Linked DNA regions of Neurospora crassa OR74A. The main gene of each other region encodes a partner of the protein of the gene in region 2 in a complex. Links are inferred from orthologs where the notes say so. Each region holds a gene or a part of one and is shown on either strand. Other genes may lie near its edges.

Evidence for each region. Proteins that work in one complex are often made in the same cells at the same time.
Region 1: the proteins of NCU04344 (region 2) and NCU08277 are in contact, whole or in part, in a cryo-EM structure (PDB 6I3M), measured with the Saccharomyces cerevisiae proteins. The link is inferred for Neurospora crassa OR74A from reciprocal best matches to the Saccharomyces cerevisiae genes GCN3 and SUI2. Residues at the interface, in NP_012951.1 of Saccharomyces cerevisiae: Pro39, Glu40, Thr41, Ala42, Ala43, Glu44, Ile46, Asn47, Lys50, Met74, Leu78, Leu81, His82, Tyr84, Asp86, Trp87, Arg238, Asp305; in NP_012540.3 of Saccharomyces cerevisiae: Glu29, Met30, Tyr33, Met45, Leu47, Leu48, Ser49, Glu50, Arg53, Arg55, Ile56, Arg57, Ser58, Lys61, Arg75, Asp77, Tyr82, Ile83, Asp84, Arg88.
Region 3: the proteins of NCU04344 (region 2) and NCU08952 are in contact, whole or in part, in a cryo-EM structure (PDB 6QG2), measured with the Saccharomyces cerevisiae proteins. The link is inferred for Neurospora crassa OR74A from reciprocal best matches to the Saccharomyces cerevisiae genes GCN3 and GCD7. Residues at the interface, in NP_012951.1 of Saccharomyces cerevisiae: Phe76, Arg79, His82, Leu83, Tyr84, His93, Asn97, Leu100, Ile115, Asp118, Phe119, Ile120, Ala121, His221, Arg224, Glu278, Thr281, Ala282, Gly288, Val289, Leu290, Thr291, Pro292, Ser293, Ala294, Ser296, Glu297, Glu298, Lys301, Met302; in NP_013394.1 of Saccharomyces cerevisiae: Val113, Pro116, Ser119, Ser120, Met121, Phe122, Leu125, Gln126, Lys127, Val267, Asn268, Glu283, Arg286, Arg289, Tyr305, Phe307, Asp308, Lys311, Pro343, Glu344, Asn345, Pro358, Ser359, Phe360, Tyr362, Arg363, Trp366, His375.

Annotation. Positions count from the first base shown.
Region 1 is NC_026504.1:2,566,387-2,576,676, reverse strand, and holds NCU08277 (eukaryotic translation initiation factor 2 alpha subunit), read left to right. Parts: upstream 1-4,609; 5' UTR 4,610-5,046; coding exon 5,047-5,124; intron 5,125-5,193; coding exon 5,194-5,564; intron 5,565-5,643; coding exon 5,644-5,880; intron 5,881-5,946; coding exon 5,947-6,193; 3' UTR 6,194-6,584; downstream 6,585-10,290. Other genes in the region: NCU08276 (hypothetical protein), read right to left, coding at 1-478, 543-3,403, 3,476-3,798; NCU16791 (mitochondrial inner membrane protease subunit 2), read left to right, coding at 6,743-6,999, 7,085-7,382; NCU08278 (mitochondrial carrier protein), read left to right, coding at 8,338-8,596, 8,663-9,426; NCU08279 (hypothetical protein), read left to right, coding at 10,255-10,290. UniProt on the Saccharomyces cerevisiae protein: eIF-2 functions in the early steps of protein synthesis by forming a ternary complex with GTP and initiator tRNA. This complex binds to a 40S ribosomal subunit, followed by mRNA binding to form a 43S pre-initiation complex.
Region 2 is NC_026504.1:3,702,192-3,712,073, reverse strand, and holds NCU04344 (translation initiation factor eIF-2B alpha subunit), read right to left. Parts: upstream 6,551-9,882; 5' UTR 6,233-6,550; coding exon 6,153-6,232; intron 6,056-6,152; coding exon 5,101-6,055; 3' UTR 4,721-5,100; downstream 1-4,720. Other genes in the region: egt-1 (DUF323 domain-containing protein), read left to right, coding at 1,172-1,414, 1,470-1,588, 1,650-1,888, 1,948-2,062, 2,121-2,134, 2,196-2,217, 2,292-2,578, 2,876-3,569 and 3 more; NCU04345 (adaptin ear-binding coat-associated protein 2), read left to right, coding at 7,308-8,132; NCU04346 (hypothetical protein), read right to left, coding at 8,719-9,882. UniProt on the Saccharomyces cerevisiae protein: Acts as a component of the translation initiation factor 2B (eIF2B) complex, which catalyzes the exchange of GDP for GTP on the eukaryotic initiation factor 2 (eIF2) complex gamma subunit.
Region 3 is NC_026505.1:5,796,914-5,807,134, forward strand, and holds NCU08952 (translation regulator GCD7), read left to right. Parts: upstream 1-4,061; 5' UTR 4,062-4,396; coding exon 4,397-4,494; intron 4,495-4,551; coding exon 4,552-5,604; intron 5,605-5,663; coding exon 5,664-5,751; 3' UTR 5,752-6,411; downstream 6,412-10,221. Other genes in the region: NCU08949 (hypothetical protein), read left to right, coding at 617-629, 1,059-1,497, 1,576-1,633; NCU08951 (ribosome biogenesis protein Nhp2), read right to left, coding at 2,693-3,135, 3,243-3,528; NCU08953 (hypothetical protein), read left to right, coding at 6,843-8,300; NCU08954 (hypothetical protein), read right to left, coding at 8,762-8,833, 8,977-9,131, 9,349-9,404, 9,488-9,810. UniProt on the Saccharomyces cerevisiae protein: Acts as a component of the translation initiation factor 2B (eIF2B) complex, which catalyzes the exchange of GDP for GTP on the eukaryotic initiation factor 2 (eIF2) complex gamma subunit.

The sequences.
Region 1 (10,290 bases), about 1.1 Mb from region 2:
CCTCTGGCGCCACCACCACCTAGGACCAGACCCACGGACTTGCCGCACAGCCGCCTCGCCAACCGATGGAAGTCTCCCTTGAACGGAGCATCGGGAGAGTAGAAGGGAACATGGCGAACTTTCCTGGAGGTGTACTTCTGAATCTCTGCCTGCAAGATCTGAACCCGCTGCTTGAGGCTTGGCCCGAACCGTTTCGTGGGCGGATGGATAGGCACAGTGTTGGAGGTATATGCCATTTGCACATGGAAGTGGCCTCCATTGATCCACATTCGGTTCTTCAGCCACTGCCTCGTCAGACCAGGGTTGGAGTAGCGCTCTTGGTGAACGAGGACGAGGATTTTTCGGGCCGTTGATTTCATTCCAAGCATGAACCGCTCATACTCTCCGATTTCAGGGGAGCTGTCCGCAAGACCGACAAACAATAAGCAATCAGCTTGCGTAATGCACGTCTGGGTCCATGGCGTGTTGACGTTCGTGTCTATTAAGAGTTAGTTCTCGATTACAATGGTCAAACAAGAAGAACACAACTGGCTTGAGCTTACCAGCTACGTAGACAACGAGTCCGTATTTCTCTTCTAGATCTGCGAGGTACTGGGACAGTTTGAGCTTTCCCATCCTGTTGAATGCGAGTTTCCCGAGGTGATTCAAGATCGCTGCTTGATTTAGACAAGTTGCGCCGTTAGGAGGCCCAACCTGTGACAAGGCGTTCATTAACCTATTGCCAAACTCGACAACAGGAACGCCCGCGGTGACAGGTAAGATTGCCACGGTTCTCAGGTTTAGCGTCGAAGAGCTCTTATAGCTCCGAACCACGTTATCTTTGAGTCCCATGCGTGAAGGATCATCGATAAAGGCCCTCATTCGCGCTGCGATAATTTTGGAAATTTTGATAGTGATGTTGGGATGTTCCTGGGCTAAACTGTTGAAAAGCGTGCGAGGAAATTTGACCAGTTCAGTTTCGCGAATTGCGTGTAGAGTTCCGGTACGTGCGGATTCGGTCAGCACTTCCAGCTCTCCGATACTCTCTCCCTGGCCGAATTCAGCTTTGACGTTCATCCCCCCATCTTTTTGATCTTCAACCAGTCTTAACCGGCCATTGAGGACAAGGTAAATTGCTTCGCTCTCATCACCTTCGCGGAACAAAACCTGGCCAGAGTTGACCTGCACCCACTCGAGGGCAAAGTCGATGTGCAGAAGCAGACGCGGCAGTAACTCCGTAAGCCGCTTGGCCATAGTAAGCATAACGATGGGATAACGGTCAACGATCCTGTCAATAGAGGCAAGTGGAAGAAAGCCGACACAGACATCCGTTCTCGCAACAACATCGATAAACGATCTGTAGGAGGAAATGGTACCAACATAACCAGCAAGTCCACCCGGTTTGATCAGAGCCACGCTCCTTCGACCTTGTTTGCCTTTCTTCTGCTCAGCACCAAAGTTGTTGTTCATGTTCGGTTCAGGAAAGCGTGACGAATTGGCCCCAAAGGCGTCGGCACCAGTTGCTGAGTCATGGCCATGGTCTACCTTGGCTGAGGACTGGAGGAGGTCGTGTGATGAATCGTCGCCCGGAACACAAATGTCGAGGAAACCATCAATAACATAATAGAGACCAGGATTTCTCTCACCTTGCTCCACCAAGACAGAGCCCTTAGGAAAGAAGACGATCTCAACCTCGTCCTTCATATCGTGTGCGAGTAGTTGAGGATTGGGAACTGGTGACGATGAGCTAAATCCACAAGAGGTAACTGACTCCGTGTCGTTGTCGAACGGGTCGAAGGCATCCATGAAGCCAAAAGCAGTGTGGCCGGGACCACCCCTCGAACGTCGCTGGTCCGTAGGAACAAATCTTGGGGAAGCTTGCGTCGAATCCGGATTGACACTTCCGTTACCGGTCAGGCCAATGGCCCTGAACATGCATTCGAGCACCGACTCTCGGAACATGTCGTCTTCATCAAGGGCTTCCCTCGTGTCAAGAGAGACATGTGCGTTTCGAGGAGTAGAGAAGGGACTGAGATTTCGCTGTGGTCGAGGAGATGTAGCGTCTCGCGCTAGATCAAGCTGCGATGCCGGCCCAGACTTCAACTGTTGCGTATTCGTGAGCAAGTCGCCGGGGCTAGGCATGTCGGGCGATGGGCGTTCTCGACGTGTTCCGAATGCAGGGGTCGCCGTGACGATGCTCTGCCGCCTTTTCGAATATGCCTGCAATGCCACTTCTTTCCGAAGGGAGGCAGCCGAACGACGTCGGCGGGCGGCATGCGCATTGTGAAGAGCAATGCCCTTTTCGACCTCCTTCTCTCCAATTCTTTCCCTTTCCCGCTTGAACTTTTCCTTGAGTCTATCCAAAGCGTCTCCTCTGAGATGATTAGGGAGTTGCCGAACTGTATGCTTCAAGATGTTGCGCTCCATCTGCAATACTTCGCCGCTCAAGCCAAGGTAGTTGTAAGCAGTGGCAAGTGTCACTCTTTGAAACCTCGAAAGGATGACATGAACGATGTGCGCAGTGGCCTTGGGATATATCTTGATCAGACGCCTGAAGGCGCTGGCGGGGATAATGGCTATGGTAGTGTCCACTGTCGCTCTCGCAATAATATCTGGATGGGCTGAAGTGGTATTGAGCCTCTTCGGTACCGGCCGGCGGGGTACAGCAGGACGAGTGTTCACGAGAGAAAGTGATGGTATCCTCGAAGAATCATGAGCTAGGGGAGACATTGTTAGAGACTCAGCCGAAGCCATCCCACGTTGCATAACGTGGTTGTCGGACAATGGGGTACCTGGGATGGACGGGAGGGTATCGTTCGACTGCTGGAAGTTGGCGTTCATAGGATAACCAGGCATAGCGGTGCCAGGAGCGGAAGGCGTTGGGTCGGGGCTGTCGTCGTCGTCGGTGTCATGCATTTGGATATCTTCAGTGAAGAGTGACATGATAGAGAACAGTGATGACATGGGGGCACCGTTCCGCACTTCGGTCAGAAGCTGGTAGCGCTGGCGACCCGGAGCAAAGCCTTCCTCATCGTCGCTCTCGAACGAAGGGCCACTGCTTGAGCGTCGACCATCTCTGGCGGATTTAACAAAGATCTCCACCATACCGTCGACCACAAGACAGAATCCTTGCTCTTCTTCGAGGTTGAGGGTTTCGCCAGCGATCAGCTTCCTCGTTTGCATGCTGCGGGTCAGTTCATGGAAAACCGGCCTTTCCAGATAACCAAAGATTTTGATGGCGCTGAGAAACTCGTCAAAGTAGCTAGCTAGCCCAGACTTTACTCCTTCCTCCTGTGTTTCGGGGAACAGATCAACAGCTGGCTCTTTGCGCTGGGGCTCAGGAGGAAGCCGTGAGTACATGTTTAAGTAGCGATATCTGACTACCCAGGTCACTCCTGCCATCATGAACAACATAATAAGCACACTAAGCATACCGACGGTTAGATCCACCAGCCTTGAGTCCATGTATACAAAATGCGGCTGGCGGATGACTTACAGCGTAGTGGCGTTCATGGTCACCGTCAGACTAGTCGAAAAGATGTTGAACAGAAAGGTGGGTGTAGTGATGGTGGTCAGCTTGATGACAAAGTATAGCACACTCGAGATGCGGTGCAACAGCCAGAGGATGATGGTGAACCATGAAGTCGGGGTGTGTTCGGGAACCACATCGCTAGTAGCTTTCGAGACCGCATCGCTGGCGAGAGCGACGACAGACGAGAGGGCTTCTGTAGGATCGGCGAGGATTGCCGTCGCAGTCGTGGACGTTGTCTCGGAAAGCACCGAGCTCATGGCGTTGCCGAGGTTGCTAAGAGACTCCATTTTCAGAAGCCTGAAGCACCAAGCAAGCAAGCCAAGAGTTACCGGGCGAGCCCGTCGTGTAGATCGGTTCTGACAGAAAGAAGAGAGTGTGTATGTATGTTTTTGTTTTTGTGTTTCCTTTTTTTTATAGGGTTGTAGGTATCGCGGTAGTGTCGCGCCGTCGTCGTGGGGATGGTCGTGAAGAATAGTTGGTGTTCGATCGATCAGCGTGTCTGAACCCCAAAAGTACCGTCGCAACCTGATCAAGACCTATGAGCTGTCCCCTCCCCGATGTGCCTGTGGTTGAAACCCAACTCTTACTACCTGGTCTGCGGTGTCGTCGCTCTGTTCTTTTTCATATCGGTCCAAGTGTTGTCACCCAAGACGGAGACCGTCGAGAAAAGCGAAACGGGTGAGCTCCTCCAAAAGTAACGACATGTGCGGAGGGTTTAGATGAGCCCAGTGTCGTCGGGTGTTGGTCGGCCCTCGGGATTCGTTTGGGTGCCGTGCAAAAGTCGAATCTCCAAGTCGCCGTTGGTGGACAAGCAAGGTTCAGTGATTGAAGCTCCCTAGCTCGACGATGTCCAAGGAAGATTCCAGGCTTATCAGTGACTAACCCCACTGTCGGTTCACGATTGACGTCGTTGTTCCTGCCCACTGAGCTGGCGCTTGGCACAGTGGAGTTCGGGGCAGGTGGAGTAAGTAGAGGTACCTAACCGAGAGCAGGTACCTGCCTTTGCGTACCGTTGTTCCCACCTGGGCTGCTGTGCGCTTCCTTACCTAGGTACCCGACTTACCCCACCTCAAAAAAAAAAGATGGAGCCGCGTCTCACTTGCCGTCACGGTCAGAACGTGAAATTCACCCCTCAATCCGGCGCACCAGCCACAGCCTACTTCGTTCCCTCCCAAAGTGCCCACGCCACTTTTGCAGCCTGTCTGCACGTAATTTTTGGTTGGTACCCGAAAAATACTGCGACGCATCTGGCTAACTTTGAGTGAGTCCTTTGAGCCTCGCTGGACCCTCCGAGAACCCGCTGCCGCAACCAGAACTCGAACTTCCAGAGGACCTTTCCCAGCTGTGGCCACTTGCAGCGAAACTCGGTCAATTTTCTTTCTCGGCCATCAACCCCTCCAGACCATCCACTCGAATTCCATCTCGCCCATTGTCGCGAAGCTCGTCGCCGACATTACCCTCCCCCTTTCAACACCACTAACACCACCACTTATTTCACCGTTTGCCCCGCCCGGGAAAAGGCACCAGTCGCCAACATGTCGCTCTCAAACTGCCGTTTCTATGAGGAGAAGTATCCTGAAATCGACTCGTTCGTTATGGTCAATGTTAAGCAAGTACGATACACTGGGGTCCCGGTGGTGCGCATGCGCATGTGGATGCGTCAGAGCTGACCCCCAGATTAGATTGCCGATATGGGCGCCTACGTCAAGCTTCTCGAGTACGACAACATCGACGGCATGATCCTGCTCTCTGAGCTTTCCAGAAGACGTATTCGTTCCATCCAGAAGTTGATCCGTGTCGGTCGCAACGAGGTCGTCGTCGTTCTCCGTGTCGACAAGGAGAAGGGTTATATCGATTTGTCCAAGCGTCGTGTGTCCCCCGAGGATATCGTTCGTTGCGAGGAGCGTTACAACAAGAGCAAGATCGTCCACTCGATTATGCGCCACGTTGCCGAGAAGACTCTTGTTCCCATCGAGCAGCTTTACGAGACAATAGGATGGCCCCTCAACAAGAAATACGGCCACTCGCTTGATGCCTTCAAGCTTTCGATCACGTACGTCATTCCGGGAAATAGGCGTACAGCTGTGGGACAAAATGGCGGTATTGGACAAGATGCTGACATGGATGTGAAGCAACCCCGACGTCTGGAATGACATCCAGTTCCCCACCGAGGCCGTTGCCGAGGAGCTCAAGACCTACATCAGCAAGCGTTTGACTCCCCAGCCTACCAAGGTCCGTGCCGATGTTGAGGTCACTTGCTTCGGCTACGAGGGTATCGATGCTATCAAGACCGCTCTCCGCACTGCGGAGGCTCGCAACACTGAGGAAACCCAGGTCAAGTGCAGACTTGTGTCCCCTCCCCTTTATGTGTAAGTCTTTGCCAGAAATAGTCTTGCAATGTTGAAGACAGAGTGGAAGCTAATAACTATACACAGCCTTACCAACACCTGCTTGGACAAGAATGCCGGTATTGCCCGCCTTCAGGAGGCCATTCAAGACATGCGGACCAGCATCGAGGCTGCTGGTGGCCACCTTGTGGTGAAGATGGAGCCCAAGGCTGTCACTGAGTCCGATGATGCTGAGCTCCAAGCTCTTATGGAGAAGCGTGAGCGTGAGAACGCTGAGGTCAGCGGCGACGAGAGTGTCAGCGAGTCCGACGACAATATCCCCGAGACCGTCTAAAGCGCCTCTTCATTTTGCAGCCATTCTTAAACGGAGCTATCTTTGCAGGCTCATTGGGATACTCGACACTATTTTGAGGAAAGGTTTAGGGATGCATGTATACAGTTTTTGCGACACAGGGCTGGCGTCTAGGGGATACAAAAGTCCTTCAGGCGGTAGAGGAATCAACCAAAAGATTGCATCAAGCGTATGCCTAATGAATGTGAGCGAGGGACGAGGATTGATGAACACAAGACTTGATATGGATACATAGTCATTTTATGGATGCACTTGCTGTAACTAGGTAGATCTAGGCGTTCAAGGATATGCAGCTACCGGGGCTGATAAGCGATCTCATCGTTTTCTTATCGCCGCCTGCCCGGGCATGTGGCTGCAATTATTGTCTTCTCCATGTTAACACACAAGCTCCGTACTGCTCACTGCCCTGCTCACTGAGCACGTTGAGGCGAACATACGCCCTCTATTTCACAGCAGCATTGCGATTCACAGCAAAGAGTTGCATCGCATTGACATCTTCGGTAGCTCGATAACTCGCTTGGTCGGATAGCGATGGCGGCGCGATGGGGAGCAGGAATTCGGAACGGATTCCTCGGTCAGTTCTCACACTACCTCATTCGCTACGCAACATGGATCCCTCCATTGGTGGTCTTCAACGGCTGGGTTGCCGAGATCACACAAATCAAGGGGCCGTCCATGTATCCTTTCTTCAACCCGCACTACAATGAGTCAACACGTCGGGACATCGTACTGGTCTCTAAGTGGTACCCGGACCGGAACCTCAAGCGCGGCATGATTGTGACCTTTAGGTGAGATCCAAAATCTCATCCTACAGCATCTGGCGTGCCGCATTCGGGGCATTGGTTGGGAACCTGACGACTAACTGTAACCCAGAAACCCACTGAACCCAAAGGGAAAGGTCGTAAAAAGAGTGGTCGGAATAGCAGGCGACGTGATCCGTACCAAGGCGCCTTACCCGCATGAATACGTCCAGGTACCAGAAGGGCACATCTGGGTAGAGGGAGACGGCGACAAGACCAAGGACAGCAACTACTACGGCCCGATATCAGCGTGCTTGGTCACCGGCCGTGTCACGCATATTCTGTCGCCGTGGGATCGATTTGGGCGGGTAAAGTGGTGGGAGCATAACTTGCGACCGGGGATCAAGAAGGCACGCCATCTGCTGGAGTGAGCCATTGCGAATCGATACACACCTTGTTTGCGTGAATGGTTCATATTCACACATGCTGCTTTCTTGGGTGCACACACAGTCCTTGTGGGTTTGTAGACGAGATAAGATGCTCATCGTCAACAAACACCACGGGTGGGAAACGACAAGGGTGGCGGCAGTCAAACAAAGAGGAGGAAACATCAGCAGTTTCAGTGCTGGACCACAGGCCTCTGTTTGTTTACTATTGTCTCAGGGGGGTGCCGAGAGGTCGACTGATGTACAGAATATTCGAGGGGTCCGATGGTTACGTGCGGGTTAACAACACGCACGAGCCACATCGATTGCTGCATGAACCCTGCAACCCGACGGTGCGCCCGAAAAAAGGTGCGGCGCTTTGGCCGGATAAGCCAGTCTTGGCATTCCCAAGGGCGCAAAGGCGGCCGCGAAATTTATCAAAACTTGGATCTTCTCGCATCCATATCTCAGTTAGCCCATGAAGCTTGCGCGCCCTTGCCCGCCGCGGTTCTACAAAAGACTTGGGGGTTCGCCATTGACCATCGCTGCCCGCACCTAAGGCGGCGGAACTCCCTCGCCCTCCCTTCTCCTCCCAAAAGGGCGATGGTGCTTGGCTTCGAGGCAGCCAGTACGCACCCTCTGCACCCTACCGCTTCCACTTCCACTTCCACTTCCACTATTGCGCCGTCGTCGTCACCGTCTTCGCTGTCGCCCACGGCCGTCGCCGACCATGGACTTACACATCAACAGGGCTTTGGGACTATCACCGAAAAGGACTCACCGCGTAATATGACTCCTGACGATGGGGATTTCGAAAGGCGCCCGCCTTTGCTGCAAGTATGTCATGTCTTGTCCTGGGTGGTGAAACTCTGTGCGCCAACTATCGCCAAACCTTAGACTGTCGCTGACCACCATACGGTAGTGCATGCTTGCAGGCGGCTTAGGAGGGACAAGTGGCGACATGCTCATGCACTCGCTCGACACGGTAAAAACTCGACAACAAGGCGACCCGCACATTCCGCCGAGATACACCTCGCTGGGCTCATCATACTACACAATCTTCCGACAAGAAGGCATTCGACGGGGCCTCTACGGCGGCTGGCTCCCCGCCCTTTTGGGGTCATTTCCTGGAACTGTCTTGTTCTTTGGCACCTACGAATATAGCAAGCGGCACATGCTGGACTATGGTGTTCAGCCCCATGTCGCCTACCTGCTCAGCGGTAAGTTGAAGGGGGAAATCTGACAGGCAGAGGCTACCTACGCCTACTGACATGAGCTGCGGTTAGGGTTCCTCGGCGACTTTGCCGCGTCTGTTGTCTACGTACCCTCGGAAGTTCTCAAGACCCGGCTTCAACTTCAAGGCCGCTACAACAATCCTTACTTCGCATCCGGATACAACTACAAGGGCATGACCGATGCCGCCAGGACTATTGTTCGTAGAGAAGGATTCTCGGCCCTCTTCCACGGGTACAAAGCGACTCTTTATCGGGACATGCCCTTTTCCGCCCTGCAGTTCATGTTCTACGAGCAGGCTCAAAGCTGGGCGCACAAGTGGATGGGAAGCCGCGACATTGGGTGGCAGCTGGAACTGTTGACGGGTGCTGCGGCGGGAGGTCTCGCTGGTTCTATTACGTGCCCACTCGATGTTGTCAAGACCAGACTTCAGACCCAGGTCGTTCCGGATCCCACAGCACCGGCGATCGGTACCAGCTCAGCGACAACGCAAGCGTCCACGAAGGACGGAACCATCAAGCCGACCGGCACCACGGAAAGCTCAACACAAAAGCTTCAGAAAAGACTAATATCAACATCGTCACCATCAACTCACACGCCACGACCGGGAGCCGTTACCCTGGACACGTCTTCGGTATTCACGGGGTTGAGGATAATATACCAGACAGAGGGCATTGCCGGATGGTTTAGAGGCGTCGGGCCCCGTGCAGTCTGGACCAGCATCCAAAGCGGCTGCATGCTGTTCCTGTACCAGGCGATTCTGCGTCAGTTAGAGACTCGTATGCCCGGGGAACAGGAACGTACAGAGGTGGCCTAATGCTGCATCTCTGTTTAGCGCAAGATGAGCGTTATTGTATACCACTTTCTAGACGTGTTGGTTGTATTGTATCTGCGATGGAGACGGCGGCAAGGGAACATTTCAAAGAGGCGTTCAGGGAATGGTCGGATTGATGGATAGAGAAGCACAGAGCATTTGTATGAGTATAAGCGACATAGACATAGACCCGAGCCTTTTTTTCACGTTGGGACGGAACATTGGAATACTCTGCTCAGGTCATTGGGGGTGTTTGCCCTGGGGTCCAGTTACGCTGTACATGTGAGAGATAGATCATGTCAAAATACCAACGGATTGCCCAAACTGGACGGCGGGCGGGAGGTTGCGCCTTCAGACGCCCGTCATTCTCTTGGGCCCCGGGACTCGGATGGAGGCTCTGCGGGCATCGTTGAAATTCAGATGCGATTCCTTCGCCAAGGAACCGAAGTCCAACAGAACACGGCATTGAGAGACGCTCGGGGCGTACCAAGATGTGGACCCACCCGGCTAGCGGGGTGCTGCAGTGCAACAGTGCCCACTCCTAGTGTAGCTAGCGGGCTCAGGCGTTCGGGTCGTGCTTCCACTTGATCCTTCCAGTGCTTGTTTCCCGCGGCGCGGCGCGGATCGATTTTTGGAAGTGAAACATTTTTGAGCTCATCCCGCACAAGTGGAAGCTCGAGTTCGGAGCTCACGACAAGCTTCGGCCTCCGACCACCTACCTCTCTACCTCCTCACCAGGGCCCTCCCCCGACGCCCACCGCCCACGCGACTCGAACAGGGCGTTTTTGACCATGATTTGATGAGCGAGATGGAACACGGAAACCCGCGGCCATGTCATCACCACTTCCTGTCCCCTCCAAAGCTGCC
Region 2 (9,882 bases):
CGCCCACGCATGAGTACCTACCTAGCGAGGGTCGGTCATGACAAAACAATTTCGTCCTCGTCGAAAGGTCTCACTGCTTTGGTTGTCTTCCTTCCCTTTTGGTCCTGTTGCTTCTCCAAAAACCCCGCCATTTGTTCAGTCACCTCGGTTGCCAGTACCCCGAACCTCTGGCGTTGTCTGACAGCACAGAAACATGTTGAACACTGCTCTCTGACCCCTCCATCGACTCCTGTCGGTCTTCCCGCTCCCTTCAAAGTGCAGAAACATTCCATAGAATGGGCGGTTTTTCGTTTCAGTCGGGCACGTCGTCCTTTATCCAGGGCTGATTCTTCCAATCTCTAGTTCGTACCTTACTCAAACTTCAGCGTCATCATCATCATCATCATCACCACATCCGTCTGCATAGTCAAAGCACGGCGGCGCCATGTAACAACTTGGAAGCCACAGGAAGTGTTCCTGACGGGAACATGCTGTACCCCGGACTGATCACGTCCAATCAATTCGACCATGTCCAACGTCCTAGTTAGATCTTCCTTTCCTTGGCTTTGGGGCTCTACGAGTGTAGAGGCCCAGGGGGTTATGTAACCGGATCACCTTGACGTCCAATCCTCTTCCTCCTTGCCTTCTCTTCTCTTCTTATTACACAGTTGGACATGTAATGGGCCGGCAGCCTCCGTCGTGTTGGCATTCCATGTTCCCTGATCCTGGATCCCCAGTCAATTCTCGCTTGTCTACTGTCTCCAAGCTGGGTCATGAGTCCACTTCCTCCCACGGAACCCAGACTCCATCAACATGACAGTGGACGAAAGAGGGAGCTGGTTTGGAGTCCATTGCTGTGCTTATGCATGCCCACATACGTCCACATGGCTCCATCACATCCAACTGCCAGGCTGAGTAAGGCTAGTAAATATATTTATATTTGCGTGCCAGGAACTGGGTGCTCTGACCTCGCATCTTTCCCTCTTGTTCCTGAACTCCAAGCTATTCACTATATTGGTTTAGCTTGTAGCTCCCTTTGTTCTACCTCCACTTAGCTAGACATAGCTCCTCTCTGACGTCGACTACATACTTCTCTCATTGTCAACTGTTCCTCAACAACTCTTCATCCTGCAAAAGAACTTCTTGTCCCATTTTCAATCCCCAAGCTTGCATCGGTGATAAACAATTCAACATGCCGAGTGCCGAATCCATGACCCCAAGCAGTGCCCTCGGACAGCTCAAAGCAACTGGACAACATGTGCTATCCAAGCTTCAGCAGCAGACATCAAACGCCGATATCATCGACATCCGCCGCGTTGCTGTAGAGATCAACCTCAAGACCGAGATAACCTCCATGTTCCGACCTAAAGATGGCCCTAGACAGCTACCCACCTTGCTTCTCTACAACGAGAGAGGCCTGCAGCTGTTCGAGCGTGTAAGTTTATCCAAGTTGTGGGACTGACATGCTGGTTCATACTGACCCTTATCAGATCACATACCTTGAAGAGTACTATCTTACCAATGACGAGATCAAAATCCTCACCAAACATGCGACCGAAATGGCTAGCTTCATCCCGTCAGGTGCCATGATCATTGAGCTCGGAAGCGGGTAAACATCTGACAATTCGACAATGGGGTCCTGGATTTCGAAGAGCTGACCATATCCCCAGAAATCTGCGCAAAGTAAACCTTCTATTGGAAGCCCTAGACAACGCCGGCAAGGCAATTGACTATTATGCCCTTGACCTGTCTCGGGAGGAGCTGGAGCGCACTCTCGCTCAGGTACCATCCTACAAGCACGTCAAGTGCCACGGTCTTCTGGGTACATATGACGATGGACGTGACTGGCTCAAGGCCCCAGAGAACATCAATAAACAGAAATGCATCTTGCACCTCGGGTCAAGCATTGGTAAGCTTGAATACGTATTGAATTGGTCAAAGAAAATCCTGACATGATCGTGTCTCTAGGCAACTTTAACCGCAGTGACGCCGCTACCTTTCTCAAGGGCTTTACGGACGTCCTTGGACCCAATGACAAGATGCTCATTGGGGTTGACGCTTGCAATGACCCGGCGAGGGTATAGTACGTGTTCGACAAACATCTTGGGACGTCATCAGGAACATTGCTAACCATATACTAGCCACGCTTACAACGGTTTGTGCTTACTCATGTGACATGGTATAAGACCACCTTCAAGCTGACAATAACCAAACAGACAAGGTTGGTATTACTCACGAGTATGTCATACCCCTTTTTCTGTCGCTCATGGCGGCTCCCGCTTTCCAGCCCATTACTGATACTGATGATTCAGGTTCATCTTGAATGGTCTTCGCAACGCCAATGAAATTATCGGAGAGACGGCCTTCATCGAGGGCGATTGGAGAGTCATTGGCGAATATGTGTATGACGAAGAGGGCGGCAGACACCAGGCCTTTTACGCCCCCACTCGCGACACCATGGTTATGGGGGAGTTGATTAGGTCACACGACAGGATCCAGATCGAACAGAGCCTAAAGTACTCGAAAGAGGAGTCAGAGAGGCTCTGGAGCACGGCGGGATTGGAACAAGTCTCGGAATGGACGTACGGCAACGAATATGGTAAGTTGCTTTCACAGCTTTTCCTTGCTTGAGGTTTCCAGCTTTTTCTGAGACTACCCGTTTGAGCCGTCCGGCTGGTGTTACCACACCTTCCCCACACCCTACGGACCAGTCGTATGATGATATGATGTTGCGGTGTCTCCTGATGGGCACAGCTCCTACACTGGCACAAGTTTACCAATGTGTAGGCTGGTGTTGGGCTGCAGTGTTCGGGTAGCGCGCACGGGCTGGGGAGGCTCGAATATTTGCGCCGTCAAAACCATTGACACATGCTGACATCCCTCCGTCGTACTGCAGGACTCCATCTGCTTGCCAAGTCAAGGATGTCTTTCAGTCTCATCCCTTCGGTGTACGCTCGCAGCGCACTCCCAACTCTGGACGACTGGGAGGCCCTTTGGGCGACATGGGATGTCGTCACACGTCAGATGCTTCCCCAGGAAGAGCTTCTGGAGAAGCCCATCAAGCTCCGAAACGCCTGCATCTTTTACCTCGGTCACATCCCGACCTTCCTCGACATCCAGCTCACAAAGACCACCAAGCAGGCTCCGTCAGAGCCCGCTCACTTTTGCAAGATCTTCGAGCGAGGCATTGATCCTGATGTCGACAACCCGGAGCTGTGTCATGCGCACTCGGAGATTCCTGATGAATGGCCGCCGGTGGAAGAAATCCTGACCTACCAGGAGACGGTACGGTCCCGGTTACGCGGCCTCTATGCGCATGGCATCGCGAATATTCCGCGGAATGTGGGTCGGGCCATTTGGGTTGGGTTTGAGCACGAGCTTATGCATATCGAGACGCTGTTGTACATGATGCTACAGAGCGACAAGACGCTGATCCCAACCCATATTCCACGGCCCGACTTTGACAAGCTCGCGAGGAAGGCAGAGTCCGAGAGGGTTCCCAATCAGTGGTTTAAGATTCCGGCACAGGAGATCACCATCGGTTTGGATGATCCTGAGGATGGATCTGATATCAACAAGCATTATGGCTGGTAAGTGGACCTTTTTTCCGTCAAAGTCGACGGTGGATTAACTTGCAAATAGGGACAACGAGAAGCCTCCAAGGCGCGTTCAAGTTGCTGCCTTTCAGGCTCAAGGGAGGCCGATCACCAACGAAGAGGTACGTTTGCCTAGCAACTATTATTGCACGATACTAACAACAACCAGTACGCGCAATATCTGCTTGAAAAGAACATCGACAAGCTCCCTGCCTCTTGGGCCCGCCTGGACAACGAGAACATTAGCAATGGAACAACAAACAGCGTGAGCGGTCACCACAGCAACAGAACCTCCAAGCAGCAGCTCCCTTCATCTTTCCTCGAGAAGACAGCAGTCCGCACAGTCTACGGTCTCGTGCCTCTCAAGCACGCTCTCGACTGGCCCGTGTTTGCCTCTTACGACGAACTTGCCGGTTGCGCAGCTTACATGGGCGGCCGTATTCCCACCTTCGAAGAGACCCGGAGCATTTACGCTTACGCCGATGCTCTCAAGAAGAAGAAGGAAGCTGAGAGACAATTGGGAAGGACGGTTCCGGCTGTTAATGCGTATGTCCCTTCGACTTACTCTCCCGTGTCCAGCTCGCACTAACAATATCTTTCCCATTGATAAACAGCCACCTAACCAACAACGGCGTGGAAATCACTCCCCCATCCTCTCCCTCTTCCGAGACCCCCGCCGAGTCTTCCTCCCCCTCCGACAGCAACACCACCCTCATCACCACCGAAGACCTCTTCTCTGACCTAGACGGTGCCAATGTCGGTTTTCACAACTGGCACCCTATGCCCATCACCTCCAAAGGCAACACCCTTGTCGGGCAAGGCGAGCTCGGCGGCGTGTGGGAATGGACTTCATCGGTCCTCCGCAAGTGGGAGGGGTTCGAGCCGATGGAGCTGTACCCCGGCTATACGGCGGATTTTTTCGATGAGAAGCACAACATTGTGCTGGGAGGGAGCTGGGCTACGCATCCGAGGATTGCGGGGAGGAAGAGCTTTGTGAATTGGTACCAGAGGAATTATCCTTATGCTTGGGTGGGGGCGAGAGTTGTTAGGGATTTGTGAGTCGTTGTGTTTGTATGTGTAATGGGTGGTGGACTATGGCTGGTTGGAAAGTGAAGACGACGTGAATAGCGCAGTCTTGGTTAGTACTCAGATGGGTATCTTTTTCTTGGTTATGAAATTTCGGTCAACTACATGTATATGAATGGGGTGGTTTCATATGTCACTCCACTCGATCAGGCATCCCTGGTTTAACTTTAGCACGTACTTTGTTTTCCTTCACAGGCCAAGCAAGTGAGAAAAGAGACTCTTTCATCAACCAAACCTCCAAAGGATATCAGGTACCTATCCCATTTCCCGTTAAAAACGCCTAATAATGCTGCAAGGATATTTACCACAGTAACCACACCGATAACTTGAAAATGATCAAGCAGTTCCATCCATCCATCCATCCATTCATAAAACCGCCCTTTTGTTACCCACGCTTTTCAACACCTTTCACCTTCAGTATCGGGCAGCAAGACCCCCCTCACTTCTCATAATCAACCAACTCCCAAATCTGACTCGGCTGCTTCACTCCCTGCTCCGTCACAATGCCATCAATCAGCTCCGGATCGGTATAATCCACCTCATCGCGATCCGCCACCCAATCCCTCGCCTCTTGGCCTACAGGGTCAACGCCCACGTTGTCAAACTTGCTGATATCCTTCTGCTTGACGCCGACCCTCAACACCTGTGGGTGCCAGAGGGGCGTCTTGCGCACAATCTTGTGACTTTCCGCAGCAACCAAGAAGCGCTTCTGCGAGCCGCCCGCGAAGCGCGTGAGCAGAGCAAGCTGCGAAGTGCCCATGCGCGAGATGATGCCGCCGTTTTGCATGACGACCTCGCTGCCGACGAGGACGATGTTGATGTCCTTTTGGTCCTTGAGGACGTAGGCCACCTTGGAGGTCGAGATGGTCTCCACCTCCAGGCCGGCGTCGCGCAGGGCCGAGACGCTGGCGTCGCAGTGCGGACTGCCGTCCATGACGTAAATGACCTTGAAGTGCGTGTTGGTCCGGGTCGTGGCGGCGTGCACCAGGATCTTGGTCACCACCCGCGAACCGCCGGCGGCCAGGACGATCTTGCGGTGCGACATGTAGCGGGAACCGATGACGGCAATGTTGTCGCGGGCGGCCTTGGCGCGGGCGGCAAAGAGCTGGCGGTTGTTGAGCAGGTGGCGCTTCGTCTCGTCGAAGGACTCGGCGGTCTGCCCTCTAAGCGACCGGAGAAGGTACTGCTCGAAGAGGTCGGCGCCGGCTAGCAGAGGGAGAGGGTTCGGGGCCGAGTCGAGGAGGAGGGCCTTTTGGGTCTTGACGACCTCGACGGTTTCCATGGCTGTTGAGGAAGGGGTGACGCGCAAGAGCTCGATGAGCGATTCGATGGCTGCTACGGGCATAGTCATGTCGGGGTCGGAGGTGAGGAGGTCGCGGTAGGTTTTGACGATGCTGTTTGTTTGTCTTGGTCAGAGGCAAGCAATGCGACGAAAGGGTTCAGCGCGGTTTGGTTATGACGCGTGTGGTAATTACGCCAAAGCAAACTCACTCGAACGAGGCGCCATCAGTGGAGGTGGACGATGTCGTCCGTACCGCGAGCGGCTTGTTGGATAGGTCGTCGGTGGCCATGTTTCTATGGGGGTTGTTGGAGAAGACGACAAAGTGTGTTGATATTGTGAAGGTGTGGGAAGTGGTTTTCGTTGCCAAAACATACAAGTCCTCCCGGGAGGAAGCACTGTTGCGGCGGTCGATCCAAGTGGGGAGGGTTCGGGGTGTTTTAGTCACTTGGGAGACTTGGAGCAGGCAGGCAGGTTTTGGCTTTGTCAAATCGTACAGGTTTATGTATTGCGACAATGATCTGGTTTGTGGTATGCAGAGTCGATAAAATGCAGCGTTTTCTGAAGAAGCGTGCGTCTGGTCTGATCTGAAAGTGTGACTCAAGATGCGTACCTACCTCTACTAGCTGTACATGTAACCTTCTTCATCCCAAATTCCCAAGTGCGGGCGGCCCTTTGAAGTATTCTGCCGCCACTCACCGTCCTCAATGCGTACCTACTACTGAGTGTACCTACTGCACGTCAACGAAGCTCTCCGGCCATTCTTTGTTTCCATTTCATGCCCGCTAGGTATGTGCCCCGCTATCGGCAGCTGCTAGTGTACACTACTACCTAGCGGGGTTGTTGCTGCCCTGGGTGATTTCCATGCCAGGTGTTGCGGCTTGTCACCGCCGCCCACCAGTCACCTCACGGACCTTTCGGGGGCTCTTTACAGGGTCGAAACACTGAGGGTCCCCCCTGGGGCTGCGTGGATCCTTTCTACTCCAGGCTGCCCCTGGCATCTGCGCTGCTACCACTGTTAGGTACTTCCTGTGGCTTCCGCCCCGCCGTCCGCTTCCATGGAACAGGGGCAGCAAGGGGAATGTGAAGCTAACTTAGGGGTTTCTACAGTAGCGGAGGACCCTTTACCGTCATTGTCTCTTTCTTCATCGGGCATTTGAAACTACCTAGGTGTATGGACCCGTTGGTTGGCGATGTTGGCTTCAGTCTCTTCTTCTTCTTCTTCTTCTTCCCCCCCTGGCTTCCTGTTGAGCGTCGACTATAAGTTGCCGACATAGGGACTAGGTACGCTAGCAAGCAAATCACAAGGACAGAAACACCATTACGACCGTGACCACCACCACCACCACCATAACACAACACACATCATGACGACCCTCATAGACCCGGCCACGCAGGCCCCCCTCCCGGCCGATGCCATCCAGCGCATCCTCCACATCACCTCCTCCTCGGTCCACATCTACCAGATCCCCCCTATGCGCTCGACCAAGGGCCACATGGCCGCCGACTGGACCGCCGACCCCAAGGCGCACATCTTCACCGGCCGCGTGCGCATCATCGAGACCTCGATCCCGCCGCAGACGCCCGAGCAGATTGGAGAGAAGGACACGGTCAAGGTCGACATTGTGCTCGAGGACCCTGCCACAAACGACCTGATCGCCGCCGCCCCCTACACCACCCAGGCCGTCGTCGAGGCCACCATCGACAGCAGCCGCTTCTTTGCCCTGCGCGTGCAGGATCCCACCACCGGCAAGAAGGCCATGCTCGGCGTCGGCTTCGAGGAGCGCAGCGAGTCTTTCGACTTTGGCGTGGCCCTGCAGGAGGCGCAAAAGTCGCTGGGCCTCATCGAGGGCGTGGCGCCCCTGATCAAGTCAAGCAAGAAACAGGAGGCCGAGGAGAAGAAGGATTATAGCTTGAAGGAGGGCGAAACGATCACGGTGAACTTGAGCGGGACCAAGTTTGGGAGGAGAGCAAGGCAGGATCGCCCCTTGTCGACGGACCTGGACAGCAATTCACAGCCTCCTTTGTCGGCCTTTTCGCTCCCTCCTCCTCCATCGTCGACTGGAGGTGGCGGCGGGTTAGGAATGCCTTTCTTGCCGCCTCCGCCTAGCAGTGGACGTGCTGCGCACAGGAGACAACCATCTGCGCAGGAGTTAGGGTTCGATGATGGACCGAACGGCATGTTTGAATAGGGAATAAAGTCAGGAAGGAAAATGAAGGAAACCGGAACGGCAATTCTGGCTGGGGTTGGCTTAGAGAAGTCAGCAAGCAAGCAAGATGTACGGCGCATATACCATCATCATCATCATCAACATCATACAGGATATTTACGGATCAGGGACGCGGAAAGCGACATTGGCAGATAAGACGGACAAGAAACGGCCATACGATATCAAAGTGGCAAAAGGACTTGTCTACAAGCTTACACAACTATACAGAGCTAATATACCTAATCATAAACAACCTTCCGGCTCGTTTCGTTCCCTGTTTCCCGCCATTTTGATGTTTTTGTTCGGACAGAAAATGTTGACTGTATCCCAAAGCTCCTTGGCGCAATGCCCAATACAGCCAGTAAGTAAGTTCCAAGATACAACACTCAAGCATATATCCTTGACCCTCCCAGATAACGCCTACATAGGGAACTTGATTTGTCCTCTTTCACATCTTAACAAAGTGTCCGCCAGTGCCACAAACTCCGCTGCCAACTTTCCACCATAGAGTGCAAGAAAGAGCCCACTTGAAAACCTCGAGAACCAAAAAAAAAAAACCAGGAACAGGCTAGATAACAGTATCAAGCTTCAACTCCGGCACATCCTCCTCTTCCTCCAACCCCATTTGAACACCAACAGCCGCGAGCGCAGCAGGCCACAGGTTCTTCAAGCTAGGCATGCTCAGCCTCCTGTGCTTGTTGTTGTTGTTCTTCCCCTTAGTCCAGCCATCACCACCCCGTGAGAACGAAGCAGTCCTTCTTTGTTGCTCAGAAAGCAAATCCCCTGGTTCGGAAGCGGATTCGTCACTTTCCCCATCTTCTTCGTCTTCTTCTGCTTCACCTTCTTTTTCATGTTCCTCATCATGGTTTTCCTCCGGTTCAGAAATCATCACCCCAGACCCTGAGCCCGAGCCCGAGCCCAAGCCCGAGCCAGAGCCATTGTCCAAAGAATCGTCACAAGTCAGTGGATTCATAGTCGTCACGCCGATAGGCGTAAAACTGCTCGCATCAAAACTCTCAAATGACCCGTCATCTTCAGAGTCGGACGGGTATTCGTCCCATGGGATTCTGCTAGGGGTGATGGGGGTGGCGAGGTGTTCGGAGGGTAGTGTACTGACGGTACTGATGGTGCTGGTGGTGGTGCTGAACTTGGGAGTGACTGCCGAGAGAGGAACTGCTGGGGAGTCTAGAGGGAGGTCTTGGAAAGAAGTTTTGGGTTTGGGTGTTTGGTCGTCTTCTTCTTCTTCTTCTTCTTCTTCTTCCTCTTCTTCTTGTCCCTCGGTTGGGTGATGGTGTTCATGTTCTTGCTCGGGGCCTGGGGCAGGGGCCAGGGTTTCTTCCGGACAGGTAAAGTGGTCTTGTGAGTTTTGGGATGGTCGAGTCCAGATATCTTCAAAGAAACTAACACCTCCACCAGGCACAAAGGAAGGAGAAAGCGGACTCAAGACCGAGGGGGTGTAAAGGTACTCATCCCCTCCCACAGGCGAGACGGAATAGGTGTCGGCGGAGGATGGTGTCGCCGGGATACCACCACCACCACCATGGTTCTGCTGCTGATGCCACTGATGATGACCGAAATACCCCTGCTGACCTTCCATCACAGCGGACATTGGCGAATACACCATCTGATGCTGGTGCTGATACTGATGCTGGTGCGTCATAACCCACCTTCCCCTATTCACCAACTCCACATGGATCTCGCCCAGCCTTAACATGATCAGCTGTTCCTGCTG
Region 3 (10,221 bases), on a different chromosome or scaffold from region 2:
AGGGCGGGTGCCCGTGGATGGGAAGTTACTTGTACTGACCATTCCGCATTGGGGAAAGCGTGGAATGAGTGAGTGACATCATCTTGCATAAGATGCAGTCCGGGGAAGCTCGACAGAGGCGATGATGTGATTCCTTCTGTAACCAGGGCAATTTACAGAGGATTTTCTGTATGACGACCAATTAGAGCCGTGGAATCTCGTTGAGAGGAAGACAGAAAGACACCGGGAGCGTTCCATCGTGATTGTCCCCAGGTCTCTTTCCATCCGTCCTTGCTGCTTGTTGGTCCCCATCGCTGTTCGTTGCCTGTTCGGCCTGGGCTCATGGATGCTTTCCTGCTGGTTGCTCGGTTGACTGAAATCGTGACGCACAAAGAAGAACCTAGTAATGAGTGATCTCGCCCTGACAGCAGGCCCGGCCTTGCCCAGAATCCATTCCTTCCGTCCGTCCTCTGTAGTACTTTATAACCACCACGTCCTCCCTCCCCTCCATCTCCCTTTTGCTTGCTTCATTCCAAACCAGTGAAAACCAACGACTTCTCCAATCGAGAATTCAACGACGACGATACCCAAACGAACAACTATTCCATAAACCTACTACACGATACCAACCGCCATCATGTCTCTTCACTGTTAGTAGCCCCCTCTTTCCCCTCCTGTCACCCTCACCTTGCATCCGCGTCAAGTGGTTCATTTTCGGGCATCATCTCCAACAACATAACGACACAATCGAATATCCCAACACAATGACCAGCATCTCGAATTCGCCCCAATCTTTCATTCTTCTCGACACCGGCTCTGCTCAAAAGCATCTTGTTTCGGGTGTGCGGTTTGCTATGAGAAACCGCGGGCGGCAGCCTATGACGTAGGGGATGCGAGCGGGGCGCACCACGGGATGCACGTCAAACAAGACCGACACAGCAACAAACACTGCGAATTGGGATGAACCAAAGATGAACCACCGCAAGCACAACGCACAAGCATTACCACCACCATCAACAGCCATTTACATGAATTTCCACAAGCATAACCAAACAATGACACTAACTCACTCCCTCCAGATCTCCCCCCCGTCAAGCCCTCGGCCATTGCCCTCGGCACCATCTTCAACCATGCCACCGAGCTGGCCATCATGACCCCCCTCTTCGGCCAGACCTACCAGCGCGCCAAGATCTCCAACAGCAAGGAGGAGTTCATCAAGTCGCGCGAGGCCACCTCGGCCGTCATGGCCTGGGGCTCTTCCCTCGTCGGCTCTGCCCTGCAGTCGTACGGCATTGGCGCTCTCATCAACGCCACCGGCACCCTCAGCTACCGCGGCGCCGCCTACCTCGGCGGTCTCATCTTCGCTGCCACCTCTGCTCCCGGTTTCATCTCTGAGTTCTTCGTTGAGAAGCGCGCCTTTGAGACTGTCGGCATCAACGTCCTCGCTAAGCTGTTTGAGACTGTCGGCCTTTCCGTCTTCCTTACCTGGTGGGGAACGCGCACCAACCCTTTTGAGTAGTGGGTCACCCTATTGTAAAAGAACCTATCTACTACGGTATATCCTGTGGGAACAGTCTGCTGACATGGTTGAAACAGCGCCTCTGCTACCTCCGGATCGCCTACTCTCGGCCGGACAAGCTGGCGTGCCGAGTAAAGGGTCCTTTTTTGAGTAAGAGGAACTCTGGTATGGTTTAATGAAGTTAATGATAATGGGGAACTTGAGTATCGCACCTACAATTTGGAGTGTGGGCGTGTTCCTGGGCATTTCCTGTTTTTTTTCTTGGTACCCTCTGTATTGTATCAAGCTATTAGCATAGTATCAGCATTCCTGAGATGAATGGAAGACGCTGGCGATAACTCACTATTTGGCTCGTGTGCTTGTTGTCTGCTGGTGACCAGGAGTTGTCTTGCATCTGATTGAGTGTTGCGATGGTAGTTGGCCATGTCGATGTTGTGTTGTGTGTCGTGACATAGGCCAGAAGTACAGCCCGCGGCATTCGACCCAAAGACGCTTGAACATATACGAACTGGAAAATGAGAACTGATGAACTTGGTATTCCTTTCTCATATATACCGTACAAAATACAAGTGTTTACCCCGCAACGCCTTCCATATTTTAATGACAGCAAGTAGCCAGCGCCATAAATCCATAACCGAAACCAGGATAGACTAAAACCGTCAACCCATCAATGCTCTCTATCTATAGCTTAGATAAAAGCCCAGAACAACCAAGCCAGCCCATGGGAGCCGACCGGATGTGGTCAATGCGGAAGAGATGATGACCGATATCCGACAATCTTTTCGTGATGAGAGCGAGAGGTGGGAGGAGCCCGAAGCGGAGACAGAAATCGACATCGAGGGAAGAAAAGAGTGATAGAGGTTGTGATTAAGGCGTCACAAACTTGTTCCTCCTTCATCTGTTCCCCAAGCCCAGGCAAAAGTCCATCGAATAACAGTCTTTGCGCTCCCCGCCAGCGTCCAATCTCCAAGATGATCGGTCGCCTGTTTTCTTCTCTCTCAACGGTAAGACGGTCCGATTGTCTGAGCAAAAAGCACGTACGCACACGAACACTCTTGCAACAAGCAGACGCACAATCACACCGGCACCTGCAATAGTGTCATGGTCTCATGTGCTCCCGCTGTCGCCATCATGTCGTTGCAGCCTTTCATCTTTTGTGTGTTTTGTTTCGCTCGAGTCATTGCTCCCGCCAATTTAGGCAGTGCCCTTGACCTTGGCCTCGATCTGGAGCGGGTGAGTACCCTTGACCCAGGGCTCGACCTGGACGTTCCACTGTTTTTGCGCCGTCTTGACCAGCTCCTTGTAGGCCTCGAGGTACTCGGCAGGGTCGACCTTGTCGCCCTCCTCCTTGCCAGAGGACTTCTTGCCCTCGGGCTTGAGCATCACCACCGAGGTGGCGCGCTTGGTGCAGGCGGCAACGCCGAGGTCGGCGCGCGAGCGAATGTACAGGTAGGGAACGCCGTGCTCCTCGCACAGAATGGGGAAGTGCATGATCACGTCCATGGGCGAGATGTCGCCGGCGATGATGACGAGGCCGGGAGCGTCGGCGGGAGGGGAGGCGGCGGTCCGGAGGGGGCACTTCTTGATGGCCTTCTCGCACTCTTTTACGCCGCGGTGGATGGACTTGAGCTTGGCGCCTGTTTGTTTTTTTTAATCAAAAGTTAGCTTGGGTTCAGTACAAGTCGTGCGTGGGCTGCGATTGAGGAGCCTGGCAATGCAATTGGAGAGTAGTCACAAAACGTACCCTTCTTGATCAACTTGTAAATCTTCTTGTGGGTCTTGTCGTCGGCGAGGGGAAGGGCAAAGGGGACGAGGTCCTCGGCGGTCTTGACGACATCCTCAGGGTCGACGGAACCCTCCTTCTCGAGGTGAGCCTCGACGGCCTTGGCGAGCTTCTCGGTCTTCTCCTTCTTCTCCTTCTTGTCCTTCTTCTCCTTCTTGACACCGGCCTCCTCGCTCATCTTCTTCTCCTTCTTGTCCTTCTTCTCGGACTTGTCCTTCTTCTCCTTGATCTTGTCGGTGGCACCCATCTTGTCGGATTAAATGTGTGTGTGTGTTGTTGTTGGTGGTGGTGGTTGGGTGTGTGTAGATAAAGTTGGTGGTGGAGGGGGATGGGGTATCAAACAGGAATTAAAGAATGGTTATACAGACAACCACTGCAGTAAAGAGAAAAAAAAGTTACTGGGTTGGGGCGTCAAGGTATTTGGTATCGTGATGGGGCGGTTGATCGCAGAAATGGATTCTTCAACGCAGATTTTACTGGGTCCATCAAGTGACCCAGTCAATCAAAGCAGAGCGACGCGACCAAAAATTTGTAGGCCAATTGTAAAGCCGTTCCGCCCGGGGGCCGATAATGCAGGTGAGCGCCTGGAATTGGGTGCGATAAGAGGGACCAATTTTCCGATAAGCACGCGATAAGAGGAAATGTCTTAAACTTCCACCTTTTGCTTGGTGGGGCTTTCCATTCAGTACGACAGGGATTAGTAGTAGTCTTGAACTTAAACAAGGCCTGCTTCTAGCCTGCCGCAAACTGGCAAACAGCGGCAGTGCTTTGTCCTTGAAGGCCGGTTGCTTGCCTGCCCCACTAAATTTCTAGAGCTTGTGATACCTACCTCCAAGCGCATTCAGTGTGAGCCATTGACTCACCTCGACAATTCACTGGCAAAAAGTCCACAATCCCAAGCGACATTGGCCCAGTTCTGGAAGCTATTGTTGGAGAACCTTTTTGCGACCAGCAGCCTTGTCATTCCCCCCCGCCTATATCGATTTCATAGATATCCGTCCAGTACCATTCGTAAAGACCATACAGCCTCGAGCAGGGAACAGTCGCACTCTCACTTCGACATCACCTCCACAATACCTCAGTAGCACACAGAGTACTATACACAGCTCATCGCCATGGCGTCGTCGCAAATGAGCTATGCCCCCACGTTGGGCAAGCTCCTCAAGTCTCTCAACACTCAGCCCTTGGAGGCTTCTATCGAGGCTCTTATTTAGTACGCCTACGCCTGCTTCATATCTATCTTATATCAGATCCTAACATGGTTGGGCAGCCTCCTAAAACGTCGCCAAGTCAAGGGCGATGATGTCGCCAATGCCACAGCCCATATGCTGCTCCAGGTCGTCGCCAAGTCTAAGTGGCAGAACGTCGATCAGCTGCTCGCAAAGGTCTCCAACACCGGCCACAGACTTGCCCAAGCTGCTCCCACTGAGCAAGTCATCGGCAACGTTGTCCGCCGAGTAATGGGTCTTATTCGTGATGAGGCTTCCGAGGACAGAAATGCCGACGAGATGGGCGACTCAGTATCCGACCTCTCCCAGCTGCCCACAACGCCCACCATTTCCACAAGGCCAGGCCCCACGCCCCTCCGCGCCGCGACTCTCCCCATGTCCAAGTCCATGTTCAACCTTCTCTGCGTCTCAGAGACCGCACAGTCACCAGTTACCGGCGCATCTACCCCCATGTCCCAGGGCGCATCTGCCAACATGCATGCCCTACGGTCCGAAGTTATCGATGGCATCGAAGAGATTATGGACGAGATCAGCCAGGCGGACGACCAGATTGCGGGTTTCGCGGACATCCAGATTCACCCCGGCGATTACGTGCTCGCCTACCTCCCCTCCCCAACAGTCGAGAGATTCCTCCTCAAAGCCGCAGCAAAGAGGAGGTTTACCGTGTTCATCGCCAGCGCTGAGCGTCAAAAACCCGGCGAGGTGCCCCATGCTGCCCTACGGAAGAAGCTCAACGGTCTCGGGGTCAACGCCATCAGCCTGGCTAGCAACGGCTTGATGGCCTATATGCCTAGGGTGAACAAGGTCGTTATCAGCGCCAAGGCCGTATATGCGAACGGCGGTATTTCCACAGAGAGTGGGTGCAGTACTGCTGCTAGGGCAGCGCAGGAGTACTCCAAGCCCGTTATCGTTCTAAGCGGTGTTTACAAGTTCTGCCCCGTAGATCCGTCGGACGATGGGACCGAGTTCGAGCAGGGAGATTCTTCGACGTATGTCGACTATGCCGACGGTGAGGCCGTCGATGCCCTCGAGGTAGAGAACATCGTGGGCGAGTACCTGCCACCCCAATACGTCGATGTATACCTAACAAACCTGTAAGCCCTGAACCCATAATTTTGATGACTGAAGAACCCCAACACTAACAACTTTACAGTGGCCCCCAAACACGAGATCATCTTGCCACCATCATGGCCGACCATTACAAGCTCGAAGATATGGGCTTGTCTTTGCATCTGCCTTAGAAGCCGAAGAGAAAAAAATGAAGAAAATAAAAAGACGCGGTTAATAATGTATCATGCTGCCGGTCCAATGCAATACTCGTTCAAATACCTCTCGACTGTTCCTGGTTCAACCTGGCCGACCAATATGCGTTCCGAAAATACAACATCGTGCGTTGCATATATGTCAACTGAAGAGTCATATCTGTACCCATAAACTTGTTTGTTCCTTATCATCGTGCATATTTCGGTAGTCCCGATGGCGAGGTTTTGCGGATTCACCGGACTCAGTAGCTTTGGACGCTGGCAGAGGCTTCGACGGGCATGGTTAGATGGGGTGAAGGGACAAGATGTGTCGCTTTTTCTTGCTGGGCCGCCATCGAACTTAAGGATCTAGATGAGTGCAGTACAGCATCACGTAAGGATATCGTATATAAGCAGGAATCGGGGCCTCCGCTGCGGACATCGGATGCTGTTATGTCGGACTTCATCTGCGCGCCGAAATATATTTCCCTGGAAAATACATCTCCCTGCACAGGGAGTCTGACAGATACTTAAACTTGCCCATCCATTCTCTTTCCACTCGAATTAATTCCCTCTCTTTTTCTCGTCATCCGTCTACGTACTCGGTTCCTCGCTCCTTAGGTCATTTATCCACGTAAATCAATACATCAACGGCTTGTCCTTACTTCACGATCCTTCAGACACCGATACTTGTCTATCGCGTCCCTTTCTTCGAGCGGGAGTCATTCTCCGTCTTCTCCAGCTCCTTTTTCATACCATCCACGTGACTGTTTGGGGCTACATCCTCACGGTCTACGCTCGAACGGCCTACACACGTACGGTCTATATACCTACACTACACACAACCACTGTTCAAGACTCCTACAGTGCAAATCCCCACGGGTCATTACCTCCGATCATGATCCCATAGTCTATCCATCTACGACCTACATACCTACCTACGATCCGTACACCGACGGTCCAAAAACCCACGACCATCGTCCACATAGCTCAACCCGTTACCTCCTCGGGGAATCCGCTCCAACCTCAAATCATACGCTCGCTCGGCCGGATCGCGATAATCCAACCAGTCAAAGTCAACTACCACCAAAATGTCACACGCACGCTCCTCGTTTTTATTTCAAGTCCTCTCCCTTTCCACCGACACCCCCACGACTTCTTTCACTAGCCCCCCGCAAGAACAACCTGCCACCGCTGCCGCCGCATATCCTCCTCTCGGCTCTCCGAGAAGTGCACCCACAGACTGGCCCGACGAAGCGGAGGAGATAATCTGCTACTACAAAAAGATGCGCGAAGAAGGCAACTCACCCCTCCTTGACCCCGCGAGGGTACCTGATGATGTTTATATGGGTATGGAGGAGGACATCAAGAACCGGCGCCTTTTGAATAAATGGAAGAAGAGAAGAGATCTCGACGATTTTAGGAAGTTTGTTATGGATTACTTTGGGATTGTTGAAGAGAGAGAGGAAGAAGAAGAAGAAGAAGGACTCGAGGAAGAAGAAGAGGAGGACGATGAAAAGGACCTTGAAGAATACGAAGACCTCGAAGATGACCTTGAAGAAGACCTCTCGGACCTCGAAGACCTTGAAGAATACGAAGACCTCGAAGACGACCTTGAAGAAGACCCCTCGGACCTCGAAGACGACCTTGAAGAAGACCTCTCGGACCTCGAAGAAGACCTCTCGGGCCTCGAAGAAGACCTCTCGGGCCTCGAAGAAGACCTCTCGGGCCTCGAAGAAGACCTCTCGGACCTCGAAGACGACCTTGAAGAAGACCTCTCGGACCTCGAAGACGACCTTGAAGAAGACCTCTCGGACCTCGAAGACCTTGAAGACGAACACCTCGAGGAAAAAGATGACTCAGAAGACGACTGGGACCCCATCTCAGACCTGGAAGATTTCTCATTCTATAATGACGAGGAACACGATGACGAGGAACACGATGACGAGGAACACGATGACGAAGAACACGATGACGAAGAACACGATGACGAGGAATACAATAACGAAGAACACGATGACGAAGAACACAATAACGAAGAACACGATGACGAAGAACACGATGCCGATGAACACGATTACTACAGCGATATTATTGAGGGGCTCTCCGACTACGAGCTTCACATCCGCAACATCATCCTATACTTGCACTTGAGAAGCCACGTCGAGCCATTACCCTGGCGTACCCTCCGCTCCATGGCCGAGCTGCACGCCAGCCTGCTTGGCGACATACGAGATGCCTATCATGCCAGACAACAACAACAACAACAACAACAACAACAACAACAACAACAACAACAACAACAACAACAACAACAACGGGACCGCCTTTACAGGTCAAACGCCGAACCAGGCGCAGCAGAGATCATACGGCGGGCGGCAATAGCAACGGCGTCAAATGCGGAATCTATGCGCTTGTTACGGGACTACCGTGCTCGTCTCCGCGCTGAATTGCAAGAGGCTTGTCGGGCTAGGGAGGTCAGGCGAAGTCTGGCAAGGATGTCAGAGGCAGCAATAGTAGCAGACTTGGCAGCATTGAACGGCTGGTAGTGATAGAAGCAGCAGTAGGTAGGGAAGTGTGGGGAGCTTTTTTTTTTTTTTTTTGTGGTGTTGGGTATATACTTGCTTTAAAAGAGAAGTTATGATAGCGAAATGGAGCAGATTGAGTGATTGTTGCTTTTGACTTACTTTGTGTTTCGGCAATTACTTGTAAGAAAAAAAAACTGTGGTAATGATTCCGACTTTCCGAGATCGACGAGAGCATAGGTAAATGTTGACGAGTCTAGTGCGTCTTGTAGCTGTTACCTTTGCATTTCGAGTTTATATAGATACCTCCGATATGTTGCTCCTCGTCGCAAAGTTCGTAGTGTGGATCGATCTGTCTTGTGTTGTGGACATTCTCAAAGATGTATTCCGAGTACTCAGCTTGAATACTTGCAGACAAAGAGTGCTACCGAAAATCATTTGAACTGTATCTTATGTACTAATAATCTCTATTGACTTTTACACACCTATTGCTTCTGCTCGTATTGCTGACCAGGAACAGGGAAGCGGAAGGCGCACTTGAAGGGCCACATCTGAGCCTATATTATATCATTTATAATTCGCATTAGCATCCACACCTGAACCTTTGACGCATCACGTTCCTCCAAGACTGTCGAGACTTCTACTACGTAGCTTTCTAAAAGGCAGCAGAATGAACTGAGGACAGGGGAAGAAAGCTTACGTTGTCAACGTCCCAAACGCCCTTTTGGGCATACACATCGTCCTTGAGGATCTTGATCACCTCCTCGCGGCTCTCGGCGACTAGGACAATGGTGCTGCCGGCGAACTTGAAGGTCTTGGGGTCGTCGGAGGTAGGGGGCTCGGAGAGAACGGCGCCTTTTGAGTATGTTAGCACTCGTCTCTATTGATACAAGGGAAGGGTTCATGTGTGTGTAAGACGAGAGCATGTGTATGAGATCAAGCAGGTGCAGAGTTATCAAGAACCCCCCCAGAGCTGGGGAGTGGTGCACTGTTGAAGGTATTCTAAGGTGAAGTGAAAGTCAAACGAGACGGAGTGAAGTGATGTAAAGTATAACTTGAGAAAAAGACCTACCGCCCATCTGGAAACACCCATTATCGACGTTCTTGCCGAGACCGGCAAAGTGATCACTATATCCCCAACACATTCAGTCAGTAACCTCTTCGCACTCATTCTCTACCTACTGTAATCAAACAGATGAGTGCAAACTCACGGGCGAACCTCCAACCTCTTCTCGCCAACGCCCTCAAAGTCCGGCACGACAACGAGCCACTCAATCTTCTTTCCGGCGGTGGTAGTAGAGGTAGAGGTAGCCATTGTTCGGATATGATGATGTCTCTGACTAAAGAAGAAGTTGTTGGAGATGCGGGGTGATGATGATTCGGGGTTCGTGACGGTAGTTGAAGAAGAGTTGAAGAATGATAACGTGGAGGAGAAAAAGAAAGATGATGATGGGCGGCGGCTAAAGCGGCTGTTCAAGTTGCTGTGGAGAGCTTGTCCGAGTTGGAGGGTGCGAGATCGGGAGGAGGAGGCCATAGTTATGGTCTGACTTTAGAGATAAGTGAGTGTACTGGAATCAAGGACGGATACGTTCGGTACAAAAGTTGCGTGCGTTGCGAAAGAAAAAAAAAGGAGGGGTTACTGTACTAGCTAGGTAGGTATACGGGATAATACCCGAGCTAAATGTTACAGTGTCTCAACGAAGGAAGCCGAAGAGGTTGGCTTTTGTTTACTTTTGGCTGCTAGTTGCACTGCCACGGAGTACAATCTGGTGCTAGTTTGTTTGTTAGCTCGGTACCCAGGGGTATTTCTGCGAAATTGGATGAGATCCGATCTGAATTGTCTCACACCAATCAACAAGGTTCAATGTGTTATATTCTATCTGAAAATAAGCATATTCGTATCCAAATTCCACTTTCGTCGAATGATGCCACAAATCAACTAAAT